Linked DNA regions of Oryza sativa Japonica Group. The protein of the gene in region 2 interacts with the protein of the main gene of each other region in a pairwise test. Links are inferred from orthologs where the notes say so. Each region holds a gene or a part of one and is shown on either strand. Other genes may lie near its edges.

Evidence for each region.
Region 1: the proteins of nuclear pore complex-interacting protein family member B13 (region 2) and nuclear transcription factor Y subunit B-3 interact in binary tests that used the Arabidopsis thaliana proteins (3 or more experiments, as listed by UniProt). The link is inferred for Oryza sativa Japonica Group from reciprocal best matches to the Arabidopsis thaliana genes NF-YC10 and NF-YB6.
Region 3: the proteins of nuclear pore complex-interacting protein family member B13 (region 2) and nuclear transcription factor Y subunit B-10 interact in binary tests that used the Arabidopsis thaliana proteins (3 or more experiments, as listed by UniProt). The link is inferred for Oryza sativa Japonica Group from reciprocal best matches to the Arabidopsis thaliana genes NF-YC10 and NF-YB3.

The regions. Positions count from the first base shown.
Region 1 is NC_089036.1:30,654,172-30,659,325, forward strand, and holds nuclear transcription factor Y subunit B-3, read right to left. Parts: upstream 3,030-5,154; 5' UTR 2,934-3,029; coding exon 2,169-2,933; 3' UTR 1,855-2,168; downstream 1-1,854. UniProt on the Arabidopsis thaliana protein: Component of the NF-Y/HAP transcription factor complex. The NF-Y complex stimulates the transcription of various genes by recognizing and binding to a CCAAT motif in promoters. Plays a role in the regulation of the embryogenesis.
Region 2 is NC_089037.1:36,866,912-36,873,178, forward strand, and holds nuclear pore complex-interacting protein family member B13, read left to right. Parts: upstream 1-1,954; 5' UTR 1,955-2,064; coding exon 2,065-2,772; intron 2,773-3,404; coding exon 3,405-3,489; intron 3,490-5,238; coding exon 5,239-5,280; intron 5,281-5,401; coding exon 5,402-5,478; 3' UTR 5,479-5,497; intron 5,498-5,582; exon of another isoform or gene 5,583-5,605; 3' UTR 5,606-6,037; downstream 6,038-6,267.
Region 3 is NC_089041.1:25,144,090-25,149,137, forward strand, and holds nuclear transcription factor Y subunit B-10, read right to left. Parts: upstream 2,847-5,048; 5' UTR 2,772-2,846; coding exon 2,097-2,771; 3' UTR 1,855-2,096; downstream 1-1,854. UniProt on the Arabidopsis thaliana protein: Component of the NF-Y/HAP transcription factor complex. The NF-Y complex stimulates the transcription of various genes by recognizing and binding to a CCAAT motif in promoters.

The DNA of each region.
Region 1 (5,154 bases), on a different chromosome or scaffold from region 2:
TATAGTCCACTGCTCTACAATGTAAGGTCATTCTCAACCCAATGACTAATATGGTGTCTATAGAATTAAATAAGCTGTCACTTAGAATAAAAAATAATATGACAAGTGAATAAATGAGGAAAGAGAAGGAAACCATGTCTTGCATGAGACATGGTTTCTACACATCATCCAAGATATCATGTGAGATAAGTAGCATTAAAGTCAAGTATGGAATAGTGGTGTTTGCATTGAAATAGTAGTGTATAATACTAGTTTCTTGATGATGTGGAGTTTATGAAAACTATGTCTAGTGTTTTGAGTTGGGAATAGCCCATTCATGCAATAATTGTTTATTATACTATTAATAACTCATCTGTCATACACATATTATGTATTGGAGTCCATACTACAGCTAGCTACATATATGTAGCTCGCTGCTATTCTCTCTCTTTTTTTATCTCTTTAAAATATATTATATTACAGTTGGCTTATAGCATACTATTGTACCTGCTCTAATAAAAAAAAATCTGACCTGACCTCACCCGGTCGTGCGTACAGTAGGGGAGAGAGACATACAGAGGAGGATGCATCGATGGATCGATCGATCGATCGACAGGGCCCCCGTAGGCAATGCATGCATACATGGGGAAGGAGCTACTAGCTGCGATCGATGCTGGAGAGAGCTCACAAAACTAGGCGATGCTGCGGCCTGCGGTTCCCAAAGCGGGCAGCCGAGACGGGCATGCACTGGCCACCGATGCAGGGGGTAAACGAAACGAAGCCCCTGATACTGATCCACGCGGCTGAAAGCAGCATATATTAACGTACGCCCGCGGGCCGCGGCGGAAGAACCGGGCAACCCTCCGCGACGCGTATACGTCCGTGTGCCGGCAGCGAGACGACGTACCCTCCGCAAGCAAGCTAGTTCGTGTGACGCGCCATCCAAATTAACATCCGCTGGTGTGGCAGCGCGCGCGCGTGCCCAATTATACGATCTGAGAATCCTGCTATACATATGACTAGATAATATGATTCGCATATGACTCTATCGCGTCCTCCAATTACTGTGCTTAAGTTTCTTAGAGTATCATAATACGGACCCGACGAGCAACAGCTGTGTCTGTACATGCCCGTATCGTATGTATGCAGACTGAACACTCGGGTTGGATACGTAGCAATCTATTCGGGTTGGGTAGATATGTTAGTATTCACGATCCGTATGTACGTACGCGCCGTGCGTGCGTGTCGCCGGTGCCCGGTGATGGGCTCGGAACGTAGTACGTACGACGAGGGCGCGACGCAACGTCGATCAGGCGAGCGACCGTGAGTCCTTGACCGGACACGCGTGCGTCCGTCCGGCCGGGGAAGGCAAATCACGCGACACTCCAGTAGTACTCCACCCGTATATGGCGCCGTATCTCTCTCCCTCTCTCTCTAGATCTCTCTCCCTCTCTCTCCGTTGGGTTGGTATGCAGTGCGAGTGCGCAAGTGTAACTTTGTTTTGGTAACTTTATTTTGAGCAGTCAAAATCTTATTTGTAGGTTCTTTTTAGAGACATACTGACTTCAGAAATAGGCTCAACTATAAAGGTACGGTGATCATATCAAGCTAATAAAAGATATGTGTCGTAAACTTGAGTCAACGATTATGCAGCATTCTACCAACTTTTGGTGGAGATTCACCAATAGAATTCAGTAATGGTTAGTCTTTATATTGTTTGGTTTTTATTAGTTTGCTTTTACTTTTAGTTTTGTTACTTTGGCTACTTACTCACTGTATGAGTTTGCTTTTATATGAACCTTGTAATAGTAATTGACAACTCTTGAGGGATCAATACACAATTGAGTAAGTGTACATAAGCTTCCAGGCGCTTAATTAGTGTTATAAGACAAATTCCACTTGAAGATAAACGTGCGATCGTCCGATCGACACAATTGCGTTAAGATTAGAACAAGGGTAACTAGGAGTAGTACTAGCTGGATCGAGTACATGAACGGTGAATTAAACTGACAGTAGGAAATTAAAATCTCATCGATCACTACCTGAACGTAGCAAATTAATTAAACCACACACGATCACTAAGTCTTAAGTTTTTAACTGGTTCAAGTTAGCCAGTTGCACTACTAGCTCGATCTGCATGCGATACGTGTGCATGCAGGTGCAGACCGATCGCCATTCTGCTGCTGTTACTACTTGTATCCGAACGGATGCTGGTGCTCGAAGTTGACGGTCTGCGGCGTGCCGGCGCCACCGCTGCCGCTGCTGCCGCTCCCGTCGCCGCCGCTGCCGGGCGCGTACATCCCGCCGTAGTACGCCGCCATCCCGTGCTCGCCGCCGTACATGTCGTACGGCGGCGCGTACTGGCCGTGGTGCGGCGGCATGAGCTGGTGGAACGCGTGGTGGTGCGGAGGAGGATGCGGCGGCGGCGGCACCGCGCCGCCACCGTACATGGCGGCGTGCATCTGCATGTCGTGGTGCGTCACCATGGAGCCCTGCGCGCGGGACTTGAGCATCCCACCGACGTGACCATGGTGGTGGTCGCCGCGCGCGGCGCCGACGCCGACGCCGACGCCGCGGGACTCCCCCTCGAACTCGCGGTAGCGGTGGAGGTAGACGCCGAGGGGCTCGACGTAGTCGTCGAAGCCGAGGCGGCTCATGGCCCAGAGCACGTCCTCGGCGGTGATGGTCTTGCGCTGCTCGCGCTGGCACCGCTCGTTGGCCTCCCCGGTGATGAAGCTGATGTACTCCGACACGCACTCCTGGATCGTCTCCTTGGCGTCGTCCGAGATCTTGGCGTGCGCCGGGAGCACGCGGCGCATGATGCGGATCACGTTCGCGATCGGCATCAGCCGGTCCTGCTCACGTATAGCCGGCGCGGCCGCCGCCTGCTGCGCGCCACCGTTCCCGTCGGCGGCAGCGCCGTTCGCCGCCGTGCCCGGGTAGCCGGCCTCCATTGGCTGCGTGGGAAAGCTAGGGTTGCCTCCTGTGGGTGGTAGCACTAGCTAGCAGCTAAAGTGTGAAACTGTTGCTGGGCTCGCTTGGTGGTGGTCGATCTTGTGATGCGTGTGGATACGTTAAATAGGGACGCTACGAGGTGTTGACCACAAATGGGAGTAGCTAGCCGTAGAGAGGCATGCGCCGAGGTGGCACGGCGCCTGTTCGTGACAAGTGGCGCCGGCTTCGCTGTGGTCACTGCTCGAATTTTTTAATTTTATTTATTAAAATATTTAAAAATAATTTTCTATTTAAAAAAATTACAAAACTATTAGTCGTCCATCGTCCTCTAGGAGGGCGATTTTGCTAATGTGGCAGACAGCCGTTGGCCCTCCCATAATAATCGGCATCGAGGGAGGAGAAATTTACAGACGGCCCCCTCGTAGCCTTTTGGGAGGGCGATTTTTTACTTTACAGGGGGCCGCCTACGAAAGGCCCCCCTGCACTGTAGAAAATCGTCCTCCCAGAGGGCTAAAGGGGGCCGCCTGCAAAAATACCACCCTCTCCCCTATAGTAGAAAATAGCCCTCTTAGGCGGCGGCAAGGGAGATGCCTGCAAAAATTCTAGGTAGCCCTCCCAACCCTTTTGTAGGTGGCCCCCTAGAGCCAAAAATCGCCCTCTGGGAGGGTGGCAAGGGGGCCGCCTGTAAAATTTGAGCGTCCTCGATGGCCCGCCGTTATGGTAGAGCCAACGGCCATCTACTACTTCGGAAAAAACGTCTTCTGGAAGGGCAAGGGCGATGGGCGACTAGTTTTGTAAAATTTTCAAATTAAAAATTATTTCTGTAAATATTTTAATAAATAAAATTAAAAATAAAAAAATTCGTCACTGCTCCATCGGTGTGGATGAGCTGTCACATGCGAAGAAACGGATGGAACGAAAGATTGGGTGATTTGGTTTAGAGCAAGTTTAATCCAAATCCCTCCATAAAAAAAACTAAAACGTGTTTATTTTGTTAACAAAATCAAGAAAAAAAAACTAACTCATCTATAACAGAGACAAAAAAAAATTATACGTGTGCTTGTAACTAACGAATATTAAGATGGTTGCTCGGGTTCCGGTTAATGATTTATTCTAATATGGCAAAACGAGAAATACAATCTCTTTATTTAAGTCTTACATATATGGAGGTACAAATATGATCATCTCATTTGAAAACCCCGAAAATAAAATATGCTTAAGACTTTTCGATAAATGGAGTATAATTATTGTGTAATTACTCTAACTTATATACAAGAGCCTCTTTGGTGCGGTAGCAATGCGTTGGTAGCCATGCGTGCGTGTTAGTATTTTTTTTTCGTTGTGCCTGCATGAATGGAGCACGTCTACGATCCAAAACTCAAACATACTTGTTCCATAATTTCTGATGACAAAAACCAAAAAATTTCTTTGATTTTGGTCAAAGTCAAACTACTTTAAGTTTGATCAAGTTTATAGAAAAAAATAGTAATATTTTTAAACCAAAATAAATTTATTATGAAAATATATTTAATTATTAATTTAATAAAACTAATTTGATAGTGTAAACATTACTATATTTTTCTATAAACTTTATTAAACTTGAGCAGTTTAACTTTAATAAAAGTTAAAACATCTTATAACCTGAAACGGATGGAGTACTATCATTTGTAAATTAATGTACTCTTGTACAATACTTTAACAGGGCGGATCCATAATTCAGAGTCACCGAGGTCAAGACTTACTTGGATTAATATCGTGTTTGGGAGGGAATCAACGCACGCAGCGAAAATGAATAGACGTGCTGCGTTCGGCCTATGCGACTTCAACAAATTCCTTCTACCCCGGAGAATGGGGGCCCAGTCGCACTTGTGGCACTCCCTTCGGGACGACCCTGTCTAATCCCCTACTCCTAGTACACTTTCTAGTTCAAATTTGAATTACAAGAGTACACTTATTTTAGAACGGATTTAGTAGATAATTTTAACATGGTCACATGGGCTAACTTATATGGTTAAATCAATTTATGGGCTAAGCAAATGGATGGGCTAACTCTGCCGGAACATGGTGGCGTCAAAAGGCAAATCATATACTAATGTAATTCATTGAAGAACATAATGTCTACGTAGGTTAAATCAAGATTCATTGATGCCATGTGACAATAGCCTAACATGTTGGCTCCACGCCTCCACTGATGTTTGTATGTATTTATGTCCTCCGCAT
Region 2 (6,267 bases):
TGCATTGGTGTCTCCGGTGGCTGCGTGCCTTCCTGCCTGCCTGCGTGTCACTGACATGTGGGGGCCACGAGTCGGTCGCATTGACGTGGTGTGTTCCAGTAGGATAGCGACACGTCAGCGCACACGTTGCAACGCGCCATGTTTCGTTGACAATTCAAATCTGACCTGGTATGTACTCCTATGTTGTTGTAGTATGTTGTTGGTCAAGCCAGGGATTACAAGTGGTCATATAGAAAAAAATAAAACGTGGATGTTAATTATATGTGGTTGTTCCTTCTCTATAATAGATACTCCCTCCGTTTCATAATATAAATCATTCTAGTATTGCCCATATTCATATAGATGTTAATGATATATATATATATGTCTGGATTCAATAACATCTACTTCCTCCGTTTCATATTATACTAGTAAGACTTTTTAGCATATGTCTAGATTTATTGACATATATATATATGTGCCTAGATTCATTAACATCTATATGAATATGGACAATGCTAGAAAGTCTTATAATATGAAACGGAGGGAGTATATGAATATGGGCAATGTTAAAATGACTTACATTATGAAACGGAGGAATCATATTGTATTGTTTTGGTGTAAGTATGCAATTGGTTATACGGAGTATATGGAAAAACTAAAGTAACACTTACAATCTACTCCTGTATTTTCTTACTAGCTTAACAACTTAACTACTCCCTACATTTTTTATTTATATGACATTGTTTAGGCCCTATTTATTTCAGCTTAGAATTATTATAATCTGAATTATTAGCAATAATCTGAAACAATCATGTAGATCATTATAATAATCTATAAGCTAGATTAGTATAATATGATAATCTCCTCTAAACGTGCTTCTTTCAAATTAGTAGGTGGCTAAAGACCCACTAATCTTAAAATTTGTATGCAAATTACCCACCACTTCCATCGAACCCAATAGATTGAGTACATCCGCTTCCTCTCTCCACAGTGCAGGCGAATCCGGCGCCTCCCCCAGCCGCGCATGCATCCGCTTCCTCTCTCCCTAGTCGCGCGCGAACCCTTCCCCAAGCCGTATCGTCATCGCCGCCATTTCATCCTTCTCCCACTCCACAATAGCTTAGGGTATTAGAGACATCAGCCTTTCGAAACCAATAATATATGTCTCTAATAATCCAAAGAAACAAACAGCTAATAACTTATTTTATTATAACTTATTATAATCCAGCTTAATAATCTGGATTGCAATAATGTTTAGTTATTAAAAAAAAGGGTAGTACGCACTGGAAAAATTTGAGACTCAAGTGAAGTTGTTGAAAGAAGATCGAACGTTAGAAAAAGAATTATGTCGTGATACAGTGATTTGTTCTTTAATGAGAAAAGGTTAGAATCTTTAATACCTGCAATGCACGTTCTTATCTTTATCGTGGAGACGTAAATAATTACTACTACAATACATTTTAATTGAAACAGAATAAAACAAGCTCGATGATACAAATCAATAAAATAGTAACCTAATGATATGACATGCGATTTTATTGACAAATTTATTATCACCACTCGTAAGAGTGGTAAATAGTTAATTATTCCAATGAGAGTTGGGTTCTTCTTTGTATGGCAGGGAGAAAGAAAAAAGATAAATGAGTAATTTTACACTCAAGACATGACTAATGGGTTAGGGAAATAATTTCCTAGCTAAAAATACTTATATTTTTAAGACGGAGATAGTACCTCATTTCATCTCAGTTTTTCATTCATTTACATTTCTCAATCAGGCTTCTCATGATCCATTATCCACACATACTGCGGTGACGTGGCTTCCGTAGATTTAAAAAATGACACACGAGCAATAACCCCAATATTTGGGAAAAGCCTTCTCTTCAATGATAAAAAGATGGAAATGATCCAGGAGGATGACATTTGCAAATACGTGAACCGGATGAGTCAAAAACCCAACAGAGACTGGAATCAGTTGAGTTTCAGCATCAGCGCCCCCAAACCAAATAATTTTGAACTCTCCGGACTCCGGCCGCCGCCTTCCAGAGGAACCTCGCGGCTGCCGGTGCCGGTGCCGGAGAAGACATGGCCGGGAAGAAGAAGGCCCTAACAAATCCCGCCTCTCCCTCCGCCTCCGCCTCCGCTTCCACCCCTAAGAAATCCACCGCCACCTCCAAGGACCGCTCCACGCCGAAACCCCGCAAAAACCCCAACCCCAAGGAGGAGGCACCACCGCCGCCGCCCGCCAACAACAAGCGCCTCAACCCCCAAGGGGGATCCAACCGTAAGAAGAAGGCCGATGCGGGGACGCCCTCCAAGAAGCCGAAGCGCCAGCCGCCGGAGCCCAAACCTCGGAAGCACAAGGGGGCCAAGAGCGAGAAGCCGCACCGGGTTTCCGGCGAAGGGGAGAAGCCCACGCCCACGAAGAAGAAGAAGAAGAAGGAGAGCAGCAAGGAGCCCAAGCGCGAGAAGCAGCAAGCGTCCGCGCCTATGTCGACTCCCTCGAAGAAGAACAAGGAAGCCAAACGCGACACAGGAGGAGCGGGGAAGCCCACGCCCACCAAGAGGAAGCTCGGCGACGTGGATCCCCCACAGGAGCGACCGTCCGGTGAAGGCCAGGCAAGCTCTCCCACGCCCGCCAAGAAGCGGAAGGACAAGGCGGCGGCGGCGGAGGCGGTTGCCGACCACGGCGCCGGCAGCTTCCCGATGGCTCGGGTGCGGCAGATAATGCGGGCCGAGGACGCCACCATCCGCCCCTCCAATGAGGCTGTCTTCCTCATCAACAAGGCCACCGTATGGTTCTTTCCTTCCTTCCCACATTCTTTCACTTAACTCGCATTTGGTTAATGAAACTTAGTTTATGCAATGATTTGTGATGGCAATTAGCAATCGAGGATTGGAGCTTCTCCATCCTAATGTGATGATTTGGGTTGGACTGGAATCTAGTTAACCTAATGAGATTTAGGTCGGCGTTGCTGTGATCGCCCACAAGGTGTTTGATGAATTGTCTGATATGATCACAGATCACGAATGGTGTTTTCTACCTCCAAATGGTAGATGTTACAGGTTGTCTCAGAAGTCCAAAGCTTGATTTCTCTGCTTCTGCTGCCATCAAACTTTTGGCAGGAGGGTTTATGCACGATTGTTTTATGTTTGTATTTGTTGGTAACTCGCTAAAATGTTGCTGTTCTCTGATGCATTAGGCATATGTTACTGGTTTATGGCATACTGGCAATGAGAATATTATAGAGGGCATATTAAGATAGAATCTGAAGAATATATTTTCATGATTTACCTAGTTATTCTGTCAGATTACTGTGATATTCATTACGGACCAGTGTTTCATTATTTTTTCCATTCCTCGTCCAAAGCTGATTTGGTTAATGTTATATCGCTCACTTGAACCTGTAAATCTGTAACTGCAGGAGATATTCTTGAAGAGGTTTGCAGACGATGCTTATCGAAATGCTTTGAAGGATCGGAAGAAGTCAATTGTGTATGATAACCTTTGTAAGTTGCACATTCATTCCCATTCACTTCAAAACTTTCTTTGTTGCTATGTTGAAAATGCACTTTGTATAGAAAAGCTAAGGGATCTGCATTTATTAAGATTGGAAAAAAATGTTTGAAACATTCAAACAGTACATAGAAAAATGAGAAATCTCAGATAGGTGAAAGAGGGTTTCCCTATTCTACTAATGTACCAGCACGTCATCATCAAGTTTCAAAACAACACAATTTGTGGAAACTGTATGCTGTCTCATTAGAATTTTTTTTAGTGAAATATAAACTACACATGTCCTGAGGTTGTTACTTTTAGTGTTCATATTTTCATTTTCAATCTCTCAAGAGATGAAGAACCTTCCAAGATTGCAATGATAGTCTGGTAGTTATCCCATCTATAGGTAGATGATATTTCCATTTCTGCAGACAGGTTTGTCAAGCCAGGAGAGAAAGAGCAGTTAGTATATAGCTATAGTAGGACCATTGTGTGTAAGAGGGCAACTGCATTTAGTTGCGATTCAGCTTATCAATGCCCCAATATCACTGGCTGGATAGATTCCATTGACAAGAGCCAAAAGATAAATACTCTCTCAAAGATTGGGTACAGATGTTGAGTCCTACAAGTTGCAACATCAAATGGTTACATACATAGGATATTTTGTTATGGTCTTGTCAATATTCTTGCCTGTCCCCCCTTTTTCTTGATAAAATGTGTCCAACTATCAATCTAATGATCATAACTTTACTCATAGCACACACATTTCTGTGATGTTGGCATATATATATATATATATATATATATATATATATATATATATATATATATATATATATATATATATATATATATATATATATATATATATATATATATATATATATATATATATATATATATATATATATATATATATATATATATATATATATATATATATAAAACTAATGCATTTGTGCAGTGATGAAACATTTTTATTTCTATACAAGCCAGTGTAACATGTACTGATATTTTTTAGACTGTCCAACAAAGATAGTTGAAGTCCACTCATGTTCTGAAACTGGACAGAGGGGAATCAATCCCATCGAGAGGCTCTCTTCCTCCTTTTTTCTGAATCTGTGAGAGAGGCAAATGAGAAGTTCAGAGAGACCTCAACTCTTCTGCATTTCTCTGTCAGTAGTGATAATAACTTATTAAGTTGATCAAATTAGGGATTTCACTTTCAGTACAGATGTTGCATTACTTGCATCTCAAATATCATTTTTTGAGCCATATTTTTTGACATTGGCCTTTGATATATGCCCCAGCTTCTTTTTTTTTTCTCTCAATGATGCAGACTTTCAGAGGTCATAGGATAAATTCTTTATAACCAGTGACCTACAAAATAACCTCAGGAATTCATATACTTAAACGTCTATGCTTTGCCTACTTGCACCTTTTTTTTTTTTTTGGGGGGGGGGTGTGCAAATGTTCCAACTTCCTGACAGAGTTATCGTGTAAAATTGACTCAGGAAAAACAATCATAAAACATGTTTCTTATGATCTGTGATGGCAAGATCAGCATCCAACATGTGAATAGCTTTAACATCTTTCATCTCAACTCATAGACATACACTTTTTGTGGATGGGCTCATCTCTGAATTGCAATTAAAGTTCATTGATCCTGTCTTCCGTGAGGTTGAAGATATAGTTAATGTTCTATTTCTTTTGTCCTTTTATTTTTCTTTATCTCACAGCACATCTGCCTTCCTTTTCAGCAACAGCAGTGTGCAACCAGAAAAGATACAAGTTTCTCTCAGGTCAATATTTGTCTTTTTTACAAACCCATGGAAGCCTATTTTAATCAGCAAAGGCTCTTCATATGCCTTAGCCTTTTAGCAATATCATTATTTACAAATCGTTTCTGTGGTCTTTGCTCAGATTTTGTTCCACAGAAAGTTACAGCTGAAGATGCTTTGAAGGCTCCAGTTAGCAGCCAAGTGAACCAACCACAATAAGTTGCTAGTGCTCCGCGAGGTATGCTGCTATGTTTTTACTACTTCCTAGCTTTTTTAAGGAGCGAATTACTGGAAATTAGTTTTCCATGTTGTGAAAGTTCCAGCATTCAGCTGCTCCATCCTGTAGGGAGGTCATCCTTTCACGAGTTATCTCCTGGGAGGGTTCTGCAATTGTAAACGCCAGCTGTGCAGCTCATGTTGCCCTCAGGACTGGCATCTTGCGACATGTTCAATATGATTCTGATCAGAATCGGAGGCTTAAAAGAAGATTATAAGGGGAAACCTGAGTAATCTACATATGAAAGAAGCATGATGAAACTTTTTGTCATGAGAATCACTTGAAATATGCTTGCTTAGAGCCTCAAATCAGGATCACCTTTTTGGCTGTGTAAGCTGTGGGTTGTGTGAGGTGGATGTAGCTTAGGCTAAATGTTACTGTGTATTTTTTTTTAGATAATACGTTACTAGTAGTATACATTTGTGAGTTCTGACTTGTTCATGTACTAGTTCATTACATATATTTTCGCAGGTGCATGCTTTACCAATTACTTGCTGGTGCAAATATGAATGCCTAGCACCATGAGATGCTTGTCTTGCACTGGAGTTTATCTCCTATGGAATCCACGAGTAGGCTGTTATGGAGGATTTGTATTTGTACCTTGTTTCAAAATAAATAAAACTAGTATGAGATATGATATATTTTAGAACTATGAATCTGGGTATGAGTATTATAATGTATAATATCTCATATTAGATCTATTTATTTTGTAACCAAGAGAGTGCTTGCTT
Region 3 (5,048 bases), on a different chromosome or scaffold from region 2:
TAGTACTTACTTTGTTGTGCTCCTTTGCTACTAGCATCTGCCACTGCTGATGATCGATGCAGTTATCTAGCTAGCTAGTCCTCTCTTGAATATCTCGTCAAATTACACTGTTACAGAAGGCTGAAAATGATATCGATCGACGTCGTCGTCGCCATCAAAATGGTCTGCCGTGTACTGTTCATATATATAGTGGTTGACCTGTCCATTTATTTTTCTTATGGTAAACCGCAACCCCCTTAATTTTCGGGGGAAAAGATATACGTGTACAAAGAAAATTTGCAAATGTTTTAGATGTTGATGTATCACACACTGTAAGTAAAATCCTGATTTTCTTTATTACACTTTCAACTAACTAAATCGAACTGTCAAGATCTTTGTTTGCAAGAAATTGTTCAAGTATATATGTATATCACTTCTCTTAATTTTCTCCCTGGATCAACTCAAGCATGCTTGCTTGTAGTTGTAGAAAGTCTCGGATTTTTCCTTTGCTTTGTACTTCTTCTACCTCTAAATACAAAGAATTTTAATTATAATTACAAATATGCACATGTCCAGATTCAAAAAAAAGGTGGGCAAGCGAAAATTGCTCTTGCAAGAGCAACATCAAGATATAGGTAGGTGGTGGCAGTCAGGTAAAGGTAGGGGTGAAAACATTATGAAAATTTCCCGACCGTACCGATACCTTTCCTGTAAATAATACAATAATAATATTTTTATCGACTATTACAGTTTCTAAAATTTAGTTTTTCTAACTTCTATCAATGTTGCGTTGAAATCAACACTAAATAGTAAAATTCATAAATACATATATTTCTTGACCGTTTCGGACTTCTCGAAAAAAAATAATATTGTTTCCGACCGTTTTCGTCCATAGGTAGAAGCCCTTGCTCAGATCTGACTCAAAACAAGCCCCAGATGCTGCCAGTACAAGCAAGCAAGCACTATTACATACAGGTACTGTACCTGTCATCCAATTAGACCGGGGAGATCTTTCCCTGGCCAATGGAATCCAGCCTCACTTGACCCTGCCCCCAAAAGCCCAGTGGAAGAAACTTCCACAGTACACATATCACACACACTAGTGCTCACTCAATTCAGGCTTCATCCATCCTTATCCTCCCTGCCTTTTTGCCTGGCCCTTTCCTGCTGCCTACTTGTCTGTGACTGATGAAAGCTAAGTGCAACTAACTACTTACTACTCTATACTTACTTGCTGATAAGCTGATTCATGCCATGCTATGACAGGGAGGATATACAGCAACAAGAAAAGCAAAGAAAACATACTGCATGGTGACACCTAGCTTGAGAATTATATATATAAGTGCTTAATTAAGCAGCATTAAACTTTTATGTTAGCACTGCATAAAGTATATGTAGAGGGTCAGGTGGTGACTGATCACAGATCAGCAATTTGGATGTCATGTCATTGCTTGCGCATTAAGGATGTGCATGCAGGTAGCCTCTAGCCTCTCTGGATATTTTATTTTATGCTCTCACTAGTCACTAATACTGTATATTAGCAGTAGAAGATAGTACTAGGTAGTAAAATTTATTTATTCATTTTCCAAAGGTTATCTGTGCCGACACCTGAGATCACACAGCCGACACTCTGAATTCCAGAGGAATCCAAAACAGCATATATATAGCACCAATCAAGCATTCTACTAATATCAATTATAACCAAGCAAAAAAACAAAATTGGGAGAAATAATGATGGAGAAAAAAAAAGCATCCATCGTCTGTTTGGTCACCACAGAACATCATGGATACCTACTCATCAGTACCATGCCAAAATAAACTGCACCATCAAGAAAAGTCACCCAAATTAACTAATTAAGCTTGTTTAATCATCTTAGCAGCCCAAACAAATGAACCATGGGATCATTATTAGGAGAATTTAAGAAGAAGTCAATGGAAGCGAATTAGTAGAGAATTTAGCCATATAATTGACTCATTTTAGCACATTGAGAAAAGGAAAGATAAAAGAGAGAGAAAGAAAGGTAAAAAAAAAGAGTGAAAAAACAGAGATTAAGATTAATTAACCCGACATGTCCTCTGATTAATTAATTACCAAAACACCAACCAAGAAAGCAAGCTCATAGCCTGTCTTGCCGGCCGTATCCCGACGACGGGGAGGGCCCGCCGCCGCCGCCGCCGCCATGGCCATACGCACCTTTCCCTCCCATCACCATCTGGTGGTGGTGGTGGTGGGGCGGCGGCGGCTGCGCGTACCCAGCTGACGACGCCGGCGGCGAGCCGTACATAGGCTGTCCCATCATCATGATCATGCCGCCGCCGCCGCCGTACATGCCGTATCCGCCATTGTTCCGGGAAGCATCCTGGTGGTGGTGCGAGCCGGAGCCGGAGCCGGAGCCGCCGGAGGAGGCGGCGCCACCGCCGCCGCTGCCGGCGGCGCCGATGGCCTTCTCGCCCTCGAGCTCGCGGAACTTGTGGAGGTAGAGCTTGAGCGGGTCGATGTAGTCCTCGAAGCCGAGCGTGGTCATCGCCCAGAGGAGGTCGTCGCCGTTGATGGTCTTGCGCTTCTCCCGCTGGCACTTGTCGGAGGCCTCGCCGGTGATGAAGGAGATGAACTCCGAGACGCACTCCTGCACCGTCTCCTTGGCGTCCTTGCTGATCTTGGCGTTCGCCGGGAGCGCCCTCTTCATGATCCTGCTCACGTTCGCGATCGGCAGGAACCTGTCCTGCTCCCTCGCCGACGCGTACTCCCCCGCGTTGCTCGGCCCCCCTGACTCGTTGTCCGAATCCGGCATCGCAACCTCGATCTCCTCGATCGAAGCAGTCGAAGCGAAGCGAGGAGGAAGACGAAGAGGAGAGGAGGGCGCGGGGGATGCAGTGGGATGAATCGTGGGGATAAGAACGCATCGGGGAGAGCGACGTGGCAGAAGCGAGGCCGTTTGTTTTTGTCGATAAGCGGTGTGGGCCGGGGGGGGGGGGGGGGGGGGGGGCGGCGCGGGCGATCCGTGCCACGCTGGCGACGTCGCGGCCGTCCGTTAGCCACGTTGGATGGCCTACGTGGTGGGGCGGGGGTGCTGACGTGGCCTGGGTTTATATAGGTAAATTAAGGTCATGGAGCCGTCTTGGCCCGGTTTTGTTTTGGTGTGAGGAAGGAGATGGTTGTCGTGTTTTGGTGCCTGCACTGACACACCTTTCCAGTCACATCTCAATCAAAATTAAGGAAGGGAATTTATATTGGTTTAATGTGATTATTCTCCATGGCATTTGTTTCTTTTTTTTTCTTGTCAGAAAAAAAATCTTATATGAGATGACCTTATGTTAGTTAGTACTCCTACCGTGTTCAACATTTAACCATCGTTTTATTTTAAAAAAATTAAAAAATCATGTATAAAAATACTAATCATAAAGAAATTTCAAATAAAATAAACAGTCAAACGTTAAATATAGAAATCCATAACCACACTTAAAATGGGACGAAGGGGATAATGTATTATAGTTTTCAATGAACATTTTGCTAAGGCAATAATAGTGTACATTTGCTATTTACTCCTAATCAAAAAATGGTAAACGTTCCATATTGTTTTCTTAATTTAATTATAGATGAAAATTCAAAAGACTTTTGGACGATTTCATTCTTTTTCTCCGGTTCTTCTAAGTTTATCAACTTTTAGATAACTACCATTCTCAAACTACGATTTCTTCACAAGCTTTCCGCGTCATCATTGTTTTAGATTTCTTGAAGTTACTTTAGGTCTCTGGCATATAATATTTGATTCATCTCTACAAACAATTATACATGATACGTCCAATAATAACGTGACCTAAGTCCCTCCTAGACAATTTCAGATGTTGAATAAATACATTATGTCCCAAAAAAACCATGTTTAGTCATCACTTATATATTTAATAGAAGTATGGAATTCTTATATTAAATCTGATCATCGATAATTTTTTAAAATATATATGTTAAAAGCAATGGATTAAGATCCTCTGCAGTCGACTGCACCGCGCTTTTATTATTGACATGCGGTGCAGTCGACTGCAGAGCATCCTGATCCGTAAACAGCCACATCGGTAGATATAACATCACTGGGTCTAGATAGGAGTAAAAAATTGTGATGGGTGACACTAAGTTAAGCACATGGACAGCGCAATCAGCCAACAAGGTTCACTATCTTCAGATATTGGCGAATTCAGCATGTCTCCATCCGAGCCCTTCACACGTCAGCCGGGTCGTCTTAGGCCACTAATTAAGCAAACCTTAGATCCAAAAATAATAACCTTGGCCTTTCGCCACTAACTACCAACCACTCTGAAAAGAAGCCTTCTCGAGTGATGCGAAAGCAGAAATCACGTTGCCAAAGCACAAGGTCAATTAGGCTGTCTCCAATGGGCAGCTCTTAGCTAGCTCATAGAGGTTTTTAAGCGATGAACAGGATGCGCTAGCTCTTCTTCAAGCGCTAACTCGCACGCTCACCAAGGCGGTGCCCTCTCACAGGCATGCTCGCCCAGGCAGTGGCCGGCACTGTGCCGAGCGCGTATGAGCTAGCAGCCGGCTCATACCGCTGGTGAAGGCCTTGGCTCGCATAAGTACTACTGACAAGTGGCATCGAGTCAAGTTCCCAAGTGCCCTCTCTTTTGTAATGCCTTTTTTTTTTAAGTAGTATCTAGTTTTATTTTTTTGAGAAAATTTTTCTTATCTAGTTGTAGAAAAAAATTAAGTAATATATACTCTCTGATCTTTTTTAAACTCCTCTTTTAAGGTGCTTGCTCCACTAGACCTACATGACATGGCATTTATACCTACAACATTGTGCAACTTCATCAGAATTTTTTAGATAATGGACTTCATCAGACTTGAACTCTGTCTGGTTGTTTTCTTAGATAAGGAAGGTGCCAGATCCTCAATAGAGTTTTTTGTTTTCTTTGCATATGAAAAACATGGATGCATAAATTGCTGAAATTTGTGGCTTTACATTAACTGAATATGTCATGAAGCAAAAGGTGACATTATTGCAGTGATGCTGATGCCCATGATCTACCTAGTTAATGAGAAGAAAAGGGATTAAGAG